3 linked regions of the Alligator mississippiensis genome follow. The protein of the gene in region 1 interacts with the protein of each later gene in a pairwise test. Links are inferred from orthologs where the notes say so. Each region holds a gene or a part of one and is shown on either strand. Other genes may lie near its edges. The genes, in order: MID2, CCDC120 and TSGA10.

What was found.
Region 2: the proteins of MID2 (region 1) and CCDC120 interact in binary tests that used the Homo sapiens proteins (3 or more experiments, as listed by UniProt). The link is inferred for Alligator mississippiensis from reciprocal best matches to the Homo sapiens genes MID2 and CCDC120.
Region 3: the proteins of MID2 (region 1) and TSGA10 interact in binary tests that used the Homo sapiens proteins (3 or more experiments, as listed by UniProt). The two-hybrid records come from large-scale screens. The link is inferred for Alligator mississippiensis from reciprocal best matches to the Homo sapiens genes MID2 and TSGA10.

Annotation. Positions count from the first base shown.
Region 1 is NC_081831.1:38,494,953-38,498,696, forward strand, and holds the start of MID2 (probable E3 ubiquitin-protein ligase MID2), read left to right. Parts: upstream 1-1,529; 5' UTR 1,530-1,805; intron 1,806-2,145; exon of another isoform or gene 2,146-2,314; intron 2,315-2,330; exon of another isoform or gene 2,331-2,701; intron 2,702-3,744. UniProt on the Homo sapiens protein: E3 ubiquitin ligase that plays a role in microtubule stabilization. Mediates the 'Lys-48'-linked polyubiquitination of LRRK2 to drive its localization to microtubules and its proteasomal degradation in neurons.
Region 2 is NC_081831.1:28,697,696-28,701,439, forward strand, and holds the start of CCDC120 (coiled-coil domain-containing protein 120), read left to right. Parts: upstream 1-914; 5' UTR 915-1,288; intron 1,289-2,417; exon of another isoform or gene 2,418-2,773; intron 2,774-3,208; 5' UTR 3,209-3,258; coding exon 3,259-3,292; intron 3,293-3,729; coding exon 3,730-3,744. Other genes in the region: TFE3 (transcription factor E3), read right to left, coding at 8-114. UniProt on the Homo sapiens protein: Centriolar protein required for centriole subdistal appendage assembly and microtubule anchoring in interphase cells. Together with CCDC68, cooperate with subdistal appendage components ODF2, NIN and CEP170 for hierarchical subdistal appendage assembly.
Region 3 is NC_081824.1:342,983,797-342,987,540, reverse strand, and holds the start of TSGA10 (testis-specific gene 10 protein), read left to right. Parts: upstream 1-1,370; 5' UTR 1,371-1,528; coding exon 1,529-1,576; intron 1,577-3,744. UniProt on the Homo sapiens protein: Plays a role in spermatogenesis. When overexpressed, prevents nuclear localization of HIF1A.

The sequences.
Region 1 (3,744 bases):
ACAGTAAAATAGGCTACTGTGCATTAAAGCACACATGTAGATGCATCCAGTGAAAACTGTAAGTGCTTTGACTCCACTCAAATAGTCAGGGAGGCAGCTAACATGTACCAGTTATACCACTATGAAAAAGCAGGGAGGAAAGCCACAGTGACTTAAGGGCATAGGTGGAAATAAAACCTAGGTTCTGTGCTCCAAGGACCTCCTTCAAATCACTAATACAATCCCTTCCTGCTTCACCCTAAAAGCAACATAGGTTCAAGGCTTAGACATGTTTCTTAGCGTATTTATTTGTAAAGAAACAAATTCCTTATTTATCAAATATAAATAATGTTTGACCTGGATTTGCATTATGGAAGAATAAATATATCACTGGGTCGCCCATCCTCGTTTCCCTTGGGTGTTACAAGTAGATGTACTTTATAAATAGCAATAACAATGCACATGTATCCAAGACTTTTTCTAATGTATTAAAACGTACAGTACATCAGGACATCACCACCCTTTTCTGAACCAGAAAGTAAGAAAAAAGCGAATCTATTTCTCAGTTGTATCTGCCAATGGAAAAGCAAACATATTAAAAGACTCACTGCAAAGAAATTGAATCTCAACTTAAAGTATCTCCTCTACTGTAATAATGAATAATAAAACACCCCATGGATCTCATTTAAAGCCTTTGCCTGACATGTGTGCGTGTGACTACCTTTATAATCATTACTGGCCTGTGAACAAGGAAAAAAATGTTCTTTAATGTTCCATTCCCACTCCTTTTTCTCATGCGGAGTGTGATAACAACTGGATAGTAGGAAACCTTGACTTCAATTGTGTAAACTCATCCTGCAGGAATGCCCTTGGCAATAGGGTGGGGTTGGACACAGGATCCTGCCCAGATCTGCTGGCAGGATCAGTTCTTTTTTATTGGCCCGGTGGAGCAAAGCTCTAAAGAATGGCACTGGCTCGGAGAATCTTGGTTTAGTATCACACAGCAGCAGGGTGGGAAGGGCCCTCAGGAGGTCATCCAGCGCAGCCCAAGCCCAAGCCCCTGCTCAAAGCAGGACCTGCCCCAACTACTTCCTTCGAGCACTGAGCTGGGGGAGGAGAGTGTCAAAGCATGCAGTTGTTCCTGACCGTGCCTGGCCTGTGAAGGGCGATGAGGGGCCACAGCTGTTTGTTCCTCTGGGTCTCAGCTGTTATTAAACGGAAAGGAAAAGAGGCTGTTTAGGGCCAGTTACAGGGAAAACCTGGAGTGTACATACCACGCAGCCGCCTTCCTGCCTTTGCAGGGAGCCTGGCACAGTCACTCTGAGGCGCTGACTGCCCCGTTCATGGCAGCGAGTGCTACAGCAGCCGCGAGGCTCCTTTCTGCAGCAGCCCGGCTGAAGACCGCTGCTTGCCAGCCGTGCGGGAGCGGAAGAGGCAGCTCCCGGGAGCCTGGCAGCTGTGGGGGGCGTCCGGGCGGACTCCCTCACCGCACTGCTCGCGCCCCCTGGGCTGCCCGGAGGCGGCGGCCCGGGGGGCTGGCGGGAGGGCTTCCCGCGCCGGTGTCCGGGGAGGGGCCCGGACGGGACAAGCTTCCCGCCAGGGCCGGCAGCGCCCTCACCTGCGGCGGGAGCGGCGGCGGCGGGGACGGAGCGCGGCTGCCTCCTCCCTCGCTCGCTCCCTCCCCCTGCTCCCTCCTCCCCGCCCGCGCTCCTCGCTGCCTCCCTCGCCCGCGCCGCTCCCGCTCGCCGGCTCCCCCGCGCCGTCCCCCTCCTGCGCCTCCAAGATGCCCGGGCAGCGGCGGGGCGGCTGCTGGAACCGGCTGGTAGGTAGGAGCCCCCCGCGCTGCGCTGCGCTGCGCTGCGCTGCGCTGCCGGCCCCGGGGACACGCCCGGCGGGGGAGGTCGGGGCGGGAGCGCAGCCGGGCGCCGAGAAGCGGCGGCGGTGCCGGTCGTCCCCCGCTCCGGGCAGGCCGTGAGGCTCCGCGGACAGTTGCGGGCCGCCCGCTCCCCGCCTCCGCAGGGCGAGGGCGATGCTGCGGAGCTGCTGCCTGCGGCCGGGAGGGGAGGGGGGGCACCGTGTGGTGTCCGCGCTTGGGGGAGGAAGGGGTTAACCGTGCATGCCCGGGGGTGCTGCCCTTCCTGGAAGGGAGTGGGGTAGTCTCGGTTATGGCGGGGTGGATGCGACTCTCCGGGATATCAGGCTGCCACAGCCCCCAGCCCGTGCGCACACCGCCCGCAGCCCAGGGGCTGCCTTCTCCGCATTGGCGGCGAGCGCTGCGAGGGAGCCGCGGTGAAACCCGAGCCGGGCCCGGCTGCCGCGTGGTTCGGGTCTGCGTGTGGGTTGCTTGTTTGTTTGCGTTTGCCATTTCCGGCCTGTTTGTGTCATGGAGCTCGATTAAAATCCTTTCTCTTCTGGGCGAGTCTTCCCTGGGGTGGGTAGGTCAGAGAGACACGGGGCCGAAGTGATCACCCCTCCCCTCTCCCCCCACTTCTTCTTTTCTCACCCTCTTCTTGCTTCCTAAATACCCAGCCTGCCTCCTGCAAAGCGCGAGGGCAAAAGCTTTCAAGCAGCTTCTGTGGGGAGGAAGGCTCCATTAGTGCGCACTGCTAGAGCTGCCCAGCTGTTCTCCACCCCCTCCCCCACCCCCCGACAAGGAAGCTGGATACATCCTGCAAATCCAGATTACACCCGTGGAAGTAAAGACACCTCATTTCCTTTTCAGGTATTACTGTTGGCTCTGAAATGCTAAAGTTGGGAATAGCTTTATAATTCAATCATCAGCTGGCTGCTGGTAGCTTTTCTGATCTCGGTCCCTGAGCCAAGCAAAGTTCTCACTCAGCCACTTATACGCTCCTGGTACTGCCTGAATTCTCAATCATGATTTCTCTCTCACTCTCTCTGATTTTATTTTTCAGGGGGAGTCTGAATTTGTATCCTTTCTATCTTTTGCTTTAGAGACTAAATTTTAAAATGACACATTTTAGTTTCAAGCTTCCCTGGTTGCCAGCAGGGAGTCTTGTAGAGCTTGGAGCCTTGTACAGTAAGTATACTGTCTGCTTGCCTCAGATTTCATTGCTAACCATGTTCTACAGCTTTAGTGGCAATAAAGGTTAGTTAAATGTGAGTTAATGGGTTTCTTGTTATTTAGTCAGCTTTCTTCTGAAGTTGACAGCAAGGTGAGAGAAAATTCATGCCTATAAGGACAGTAATAATAATTTTATGTGGTGAAGTCCATAACCAGCTGGTATTTTAAATAATATTTTACTGTTGTGTTTCATTGGCTTTCTGTTCTTTGACTGACTATTACTGGTTTTGAAATGCGGCAAAGCGTGATTGAAGTAAATATCCGACAAGGTAGAAATGTGTCCGAGTTAACACTGTTTTAAGTTCTAGTCTTCAGGCTCTACTTGTGCATTTGGTATCAACCATGTATTCTATGCCTATAATGCAGGCCATTCTAGATGTTTCCAAGGTAGTTCAACCTCACGGGTTGCACAAATTTCTGGGGATTTTATTTGGGACTTCTGTTTTGGTGTCCCATCATTTTCTCAAGCCCTAGGTGCTAATGCGTTAAGCACCGCCTCTTTCTTTTTGACTGTGGTCCAGGTCTGCTCCCTCTCTAAAACAAATTGTGATCCTTTCCATTTGGTTTTTGTTAGTGACTTCAGGCAGATCATCCCCATTCACGCATCTGCCACAGCCCAACCAGGTTTCCAGATTGCATGCTCTAGAATTCGGCATAGGCATGGAGTTGTTGGTGTGCTC
Region 2 (3,744 bases), about 9.8 Mb from region 1:
CGCTTACCTGAGCAGCTGCCCGGCGTGGTCCGGCTCCTGCAGCAGCACGTAGACGGTTTTGGGGGGCAGCTCGGGGGGGGGGCGTTGGGACCCCTCCCCCGCCCCATGGGACATCCTCCCCCGCCCCCTCCTCTGGCCCTGCCCCCCTTACAGCGGCAGCAAACCCTGTTTTCAGGGCCAAGAGGGGCCCGATCCGGCCTGGGGGACCCCGAAAAGCCAAAGCTACGGAACCGCCGAGGCGATAAACAGCGCGGGGTGGGGGGGGAACTCCACGGGAAGTGACGTCAGGCGGGGAAGCACCCCCCCCTTATTGACATAGCGGGGTGCCCCAAGGGGGGTCCCCGACTACCACGGGACGGTGCCCCTCACTCCGACCTGCAACCCCCCTCGCCATAGTCCTGCGGTGCCCCCGACCTGCAGCCTCCGGATCCCGCGGTCCTTCTCACTCCCGACCCGCACCCCATCGCAGCCAGCGGTCTCCCTCATTCCCGACCCGCAGCCCCCCCAGTATAGTGCTGGCAGTGGCCAGCAGAGGGGGCTCGTTTTCCAGTGTCTCTGTCAGGGGGGCATTGGCTATGCTTGTATGCACTGGGGGGAGGGAAGGGCAGGCAGAGAGCCCAGACGCCCGGGTTCTCTGGCAGAGGAATGGGGGCTGGTTCTGGGACTAGGAGGTTTGGGAACCCAGGCACCCGGGTTCCTTAACAGGGAAGTCAGCTGAGAGCTTGGACACCTGGGTTCTCTTGGACAGGACTTGGGGCGGGGGGAGTGCTCTGTACTCGGATTCCTGGGTTCCTTGTCATGTATAGGGAGGGACGGGTACCCAGACGCCTGAGTTCCCCGAGTGCGCCCCGCCCCCGGTTGCCATGGCGACGTTGCGCCGGCGCAGACGGACCCACTTTCCTCCCCAGCACCAGGAGGGTTAACCCCCACCCCCAGCTGCAGCCAGCGCCGGGGCCCCGGACGCTTGGGTTCTTCCTCGCACCTCTTCCTCGGACACCTGGGTTCTCTGCCTGGATCCTCGATCTGCAGCCTCTACTATAGCTCCCCGGTGCCCTCCACTCCCTGCCCGGAACCCGCCTCCTCCCCCCGCCATAGTCCGGCGGTGCCCCTCACCCACGACCCACATCCCTTCCATCACCACCACCAATCTCGGGCGCCTGGGTTCCTACCTCCCGGCCTGGACCTGCCCCCCGTCCCGCAGAGCGGGGGTTTTGGGGGTGGGAGGATAGATCCGTAAACCCCTCCCCAGGGACCTCTCCCCCACCGAACCCGGAGACTGCAGAGTGAGGTAAGGCGGGAGGGAGCCCGGGACGCCTGGGTTCTCGCGGGGGAGGGGCTAGGGACTGAGAGCAGGGGAGGCTGGGAGCCAGACTCTTGGGTTGGAGGGGCTGGGATCCTGGACACCTGGGTTTTCGGGGGCTGGGGGGAGAGAGCCCAGATGCTTGGGTTTTTGTGGGGAAGGGGGGATCCCCAGATTTTGCAGGAAGGACAATGGGCTCTTTTCCCATCAAAGATGGGGAGAGAATCCAAGCATCTGAGCTCCCAGCCCCCAACTCTCCCCTTGGGGAACCCTGTCATCAGGGTGACTCACAGTCCCCACCCAGGGCCTGGCAGGCACCTTTGTCCCAAACTAGGATGAATCAGGGCAGGTGATGCAACCACCTCTGGGGTGGGGCATCCAGGATGTAGAACAACCCTGGGGAAGGACCCAGAGGTGCCCAGCTCTGGGGTGGAACAACCCAGTATAACAAGGCCTAATATAGGCCGAGATGTGCCCATCTCTGGGGTGGCCATGGCCGGGGAACAGCCAAGTATAACCAGGCCCATGTTGTCCAGTAGTTAGGAACAGCCAAGTATGACAAGTCTTAGATGCACCCAGCTCTGGGGTGGGGAAGTCAGGGAATGGTTGAGTATAATAAGACAGAGGGAAGGCCCAGATGCACTCAGCTCAGGTCCAGCAGCCCAGAATGAGGAAATATAACAAGGGGCCCAGATGCACCTAGCTCTGAGGTGGAAACACCCAGGGCCTGACCCCATTTCTTGCCTCAGGAAGGCCCTAGGTGACCAGTTCCAGACTGGGGCCCAGTCACGGGGCCATACTAGGAGCAGGGCCAGGACAGTGCTAAAGGGGGAGGACCTCAGGTTAGCCCCTGAACAGGAGACAGCAGTGTGGAAGCTGGAGATGGGGTCAAGTGCTGGGAGTCCAGATGCCTGGGTTCTCTGGGCATGGGGTGAGGTTGGCGGTGGCTGGGAGCCCAGACACCCAGGTTCTTTGGGAGAGGAGTGAGACCAAGGGGTGCTGGGATCCCGAATACCTGCATTGGGGGGGGGGGGGGAGTTGGAAGCCTGGATACCTGGGTTCTCTGGGAGGGAAGTGGAGACTAGTGGTTGTAGCAGGGGTAGGGCTGGGAGCTTGGATGCCTGGGTTCCTTAGGAGAGAGTGGAATCTGGGAATGCAAGACCAGGGGTGGCTAGGAGCCTGGACACCTGGGTGGGGAGCAGGGTTTGAGACCAGGAGGGCTTGGACACCTGGGTTCTCTGGCTAGGGGATGGGGGTGTACTGAGTGAGACCAGAGGAGCTGGGATCCCGGATGCCTGGGTTCTACAAGAGGGGTTGAATTGGGGGCTGGGCGCCGGAAGCACGACGTGGAGGCACGAGCAGGAAGCCGCCACCTGGAGCCTTCAGGGCGAAGGACGTGTTGGCCTGGAGCGGGGAGGGGGCCAGACTCCTGGGTTCCGCGGCCCCTGCGCCAGGAGCCTCCCTGATTCCTGGGTCTGTTGCACAATAGGTTTGCGGGGTGGGCACCTGAGTTCCCTGGGAGGGTCCGGAGACTAGGAGCTCGGACGTCTAGGTCCTCCAAGGGGAGGGGGCCCAGGACGCCTGGGTTCTTGGGGGATGACGGGGGCCCGCACGCCTCGGCTGTCCAAGAACAGGGACTCTCGGAGGAACTTGAGGGGGGGAGCTCAGACACCTGGGTTTTCTTGGGGGTGTGGTATAGGGTCTCTGACGCCTGGGTCTTCTGCGGGGGTGGGGAAAACCAGGGTCTAGAATGCGTGGGTCCTCTGGGGTGAGGAGGGGGCTGCAAGCCCGGCTGCCTGGGTTCTCCAAGAGGGGTGAGCAGGGACCCGGACGCCTGGGTTCCCTGCGGGGCCGGGACTCCTGACTTCCTATCTGCTCAGCCTCTCTGCCGTCCCCCACCTCCCGCAGGCACCGGCTCTGTCCCGGCGTCATGGATTTGGGGGCGTCGTGACCCCGGCATGGAGGTCAAAGGGCAACTCATCACCTCTGCAGGTAAGGAATGCCCCGCCTCGCCCAAGCCACGCCCCCTTGTTCCCTCCATATCCCGCCCTCCTAGCCCTCTGTGCCTTAATGTAGTCCTCATCCGGCCCCCCCCCCACTATGATCCACACCAGCTAGTCCCGCCCCCTGCTGCCCTTCTATGGTCCGACCTGGCTAACTCCGCCCCTTCTGCGTTGCTTCGTTCTTCCTGGCTAGCCCCGCCCCCTGTGCCCTTACATAGTCCTCTCTCCCCACCTTCTGTCCTAATGTGGTCTTCCCTGGCTAACCCCACCCTTATGTGGTTCCGCCTCCTGATTGGCTACTCCCACCTCTCTAAACTAACTCCACCCTCTAGCAGGCCCCTCCCCATCTCCCAAGATGCTCCCACCCCTCAGCCTGCTCCTACCATCGCGCGGCTTTGATCCCACCGCTTCTCATCCACCACCCAGAGCCTCCAGGGCGAG
Region 3 (3,744 bases), on another chromosome or scaffold:
AATATTTACTCACGTAAAATAGTATTGTGGATCAAACACATGGCCCTGAATAAAGAGCTGAGATTAGGCTGGATTTTGCTCCATAGTCCCTTTCTGTGTAACCCCAAACCATGCGTCTCCTGCCTGGCATTCATCAAAGAAACCCTCAGGGGGTGACGTGTAGTCTGGGATGACCTGAAAAGGATTTTGCCCCTAATCCCAGCCTACTCCCAGCTCCTTATTCTGGGCTGCACACTAGCTCCGTGGGGATTCTTCTACATTTTTATGCATGAACATACATGTCTGGGGTGTTGGTTACAGCCGTGTTGGTCAAAGCTAGGGGTGAGCAAAATGCGGCCCGCAGGCCAGATGCAGCCCGCCAGGTCATTCTATCCGGCCCGCGGGGCCCCTAAAAAATTTAGAAAATTAATATTTATCTGCCCCTGGCTGCCTGTCATGCGGCCCTCCACGGCTTGCCAAAACTCAGTAACCGGCCCTCCACCTGAAATAATTGCCTGCCCCTGCTCTAAGCACACAGGCAGACAAGGTTTCTTGGGTAAATCTGATCTCATTAGACCAGCTCAAATAGTTGGAAAAAATCATCTCTGCAAGCTTTGGGGTACAAACACCCTTCTTCAGCTGAAATACTTACTAATGTAAAATTATATCTTCAGATGAAGAAGGGTGTTTGTACCCCAGAGACAAATTTTCTCAACTGTTGTAATTGGCCTAATACAGGGTCTTCATAAAGTCCTTGTACACTTTTAAACTTTAATAATTTAGGTTGTAGGTATGATAGAAACAACCTGTAAGCGGCATTAAAAAGCAAATTTACTAAAGTTTTAGGACCACTACACTACACAATGCTAGACTTCAACATAACCACCATTTTCTTCTCACAGCTGATACAGACTTCAATTCTGCTAGCCACAGGCCACACTTTAACTTCTCATCTACACTACCGTAGCCATTTTTCGTTTGTCAATCTGAAATAAGAATAAACTTGTTATTACTTATGAAGTCTAGCCCTGTGTACTCCAGTGGTCCTAAAACTTTAATAAATTTGCTTTTAAATGCCGTTCACCGATTGTTTCAATCATACCTCCAACCTGAGTTATTAAAGTATCAATGTGCACAAGGACTTAATGAAGAGCTCAGATTTACCCAAGAGCCCTGCGCGTGCCTGGTGCACTTCCAGTGCTCGGCGCTGCCCAGCCCATCGCGAGCAGCTTGCACTTGCGCGCACAGGAGCTTTGCAAAAGGAGCCGGGAACACGAGGCGGGCTGCAGCCCCGAGCGCGCTGCCGTCATGGCAACGGGCGCCGGGCAACCCAACTGCCGCGCGGCCCATCCTGGCGGTAAGGCGGGAGCCGCGCCTCAAGGCCCCTCGCGCCAGCCCTGCGCCCCTCCCCTCCTCTCCCCCGACGGGGCAGAGCGCGGGCGGCCGTTGGGGGGCGGGGCGCGGAGGGGACCGCGCAGGTACCGCGGGGTGGGGCTGACACTGACCCCCCCTCCCCCACACGCGTGCACACCTCGGCGGGGCGGGCGGCATGAGCGGGCGGCGGCGGCAGCGGCGGGGAGCGGGTAGCCGCCTGCAGGTAGGTGCCCCCCCCGCCCGGGCTAGCTGCCCCCGGGGCGGGGGCGGCTGTGACCGGGCACATGCGGCTGTTCTGCTGCTTCTCCTCCCCTTCTCCTCCTTCCCTTCCCTTTTGCTCCTTTCCTTTCCTTCTCCTTGCCCTTGTGCAGGCCCCTGTCAGACCTGGGGGCAGTGACTCTCCACAAGGAGACTGCAGCCCCGGGGCTGCCCTGAGCGCCTTTGACGGGTGCCGCGGGATGCCTGCCGTACCGCATCAGCGCTGTCCGGTGCGCAAACCTGATTTGCAAGCTAAAGCACAAGCTGCCTTAGCAGCAGCCTGTCCCGGTGTGGTCTTTCTGAGCTCTCCCCAGTGAAAAAAAGGGCAACGTAGCTCCTTTTCCAACAGCGCTTCTTCTGCTTGGCTGTTTAGTTTAACCTGATGCTTCCCAAGCAAGGACACGCAGTGGAAGAACCTGGGGTGGCACGCCTTAATTTTAGGGTGCCGCACACAATTCGCACTCTTGGGCATGCAAGCCTCTACACATGATTCACTAGAGAAGCCCGGAGATTTCAAATAGGAATCTCCATAGCGTCAAAACTGCTCTGACCTGATGCCGGCTTTCTGAGTCCTTTGCAACTGAAGAGTTGCTCGATTATTTTTCTGTATAGTGAAAAGACAAATGGGAGCTCAGAGCTGGCATTTCCCATTGGGACCCTTGTTTCACCGGGGGTGCCTCAAGTCAAAAGTTGAGAACCACAGCCTTGAGCTTCCTTTTTGCAGAGAAACCACGGGTTTTTTTGCTTTGCTTTGGTTTTTTGGTTGGTTTGTTTTGGGGTTGTTTTTTTTGTGGGGGGGAGGTTGGACAGATATAGTTTGCCCACCTCTGGGGAAAGGTAGTTAGATGTTAGTTTGGAGTCAAGGTAGAATTTGCACTTTTAGACTAACTAAATAATGTATATGTATATAAAGCAGAAGCTTTTGTGAACTCATTGACTTAATTCAGTGCTGTAAAAGGATTAGCATAAAGCAGTGAAAAAAGTGGAGTGAGTGATTTGAATAAATTTGGGGTCCTGGTCATTGAAGCTCCTAACAAAGCCCTATTGAATCCAAAGAAAATGACCAGGTCTGGAATTGCTAGCATTTATCTTCTTTTTTTTCTGTATTTGTGTAAGAGTTGTTTGACCATGTTTGGTCAGATTTGTCAGTGAGTTCGTGGCAAGACCTTTTCTAAAGTTTTTCAATATAATTTCAGTGGTTATCTCAGGTCTGCCTCTGAAAAATCATAGCCTCTCCCTGCTGTGTCATCTCCTTTGAGATCCTTGAATTTGGCTCTTTCAGGGGTGTCAAATGTATGGCTCAGGCCTGTGGGGCTCCCAGAGAGACCAGGAATTCAGGGGCAGGGCAAGTGGAAGTCTGGGGCACAGAGCCCGGTTGGGGAGGCATGTCAGCTGCAGAGGAAAATGACTGCTGCCCCTCAAGCCCCCTTCCTCCACCCTTGACCTATGAAGAGCCCTGTGGTCTGAATCCAGCTCTGGGGGGGTGGGGTGAGTTAGACACCTGAGCTATATATACCATTCAGTACACCTGATCATCACTGCTCCACAGTTATCTATGAGAGCTCAATCTGGTAAATGATCATGTTCAAATGTTAAATTAAGCACTTTCGTAAATGTTTGCAGGTTCAGAGCATATTTTTGATGCGCACATCCCCCATTCACTCAATTTTGAATCATACTGGAATAATCAGTCTTGTTTTGCTGAAGGAATTGGCTTATTCAGAAGAATTAAACAATAAATAGCTTCTGAGAGGTACTATTTTGTGTCATTCCTTTTCTCTCATTTAGTGCAGGGGTATCCAACTTATTTGGTCCCATAGGCCAGATGAGGGGTGCTGGTCTGGTCTGTGGGCTGGATCAGGTTTACAGTCCAGCCCTGTGCATCAGGGCCAGTGCACAGGGCTGGTCTGACGTGTGCCGCTTGTAGCACACACCCTGTACTGGCCCTATGCACTGTGCAGAGCAAGCATTCTGATTCCACTCGTGCGTACCACAAGCAGCGTGTGCTGGCCCCAGCCCCATGTGCTGCACCCATAGGCTGCTCCAGATTCGCCCTATACACTATATTCTGTGTGTGGGCCTGATCCAGGTCAGCCATGTGCAGAACATGTCCTGGACTGGCCCCACACACTG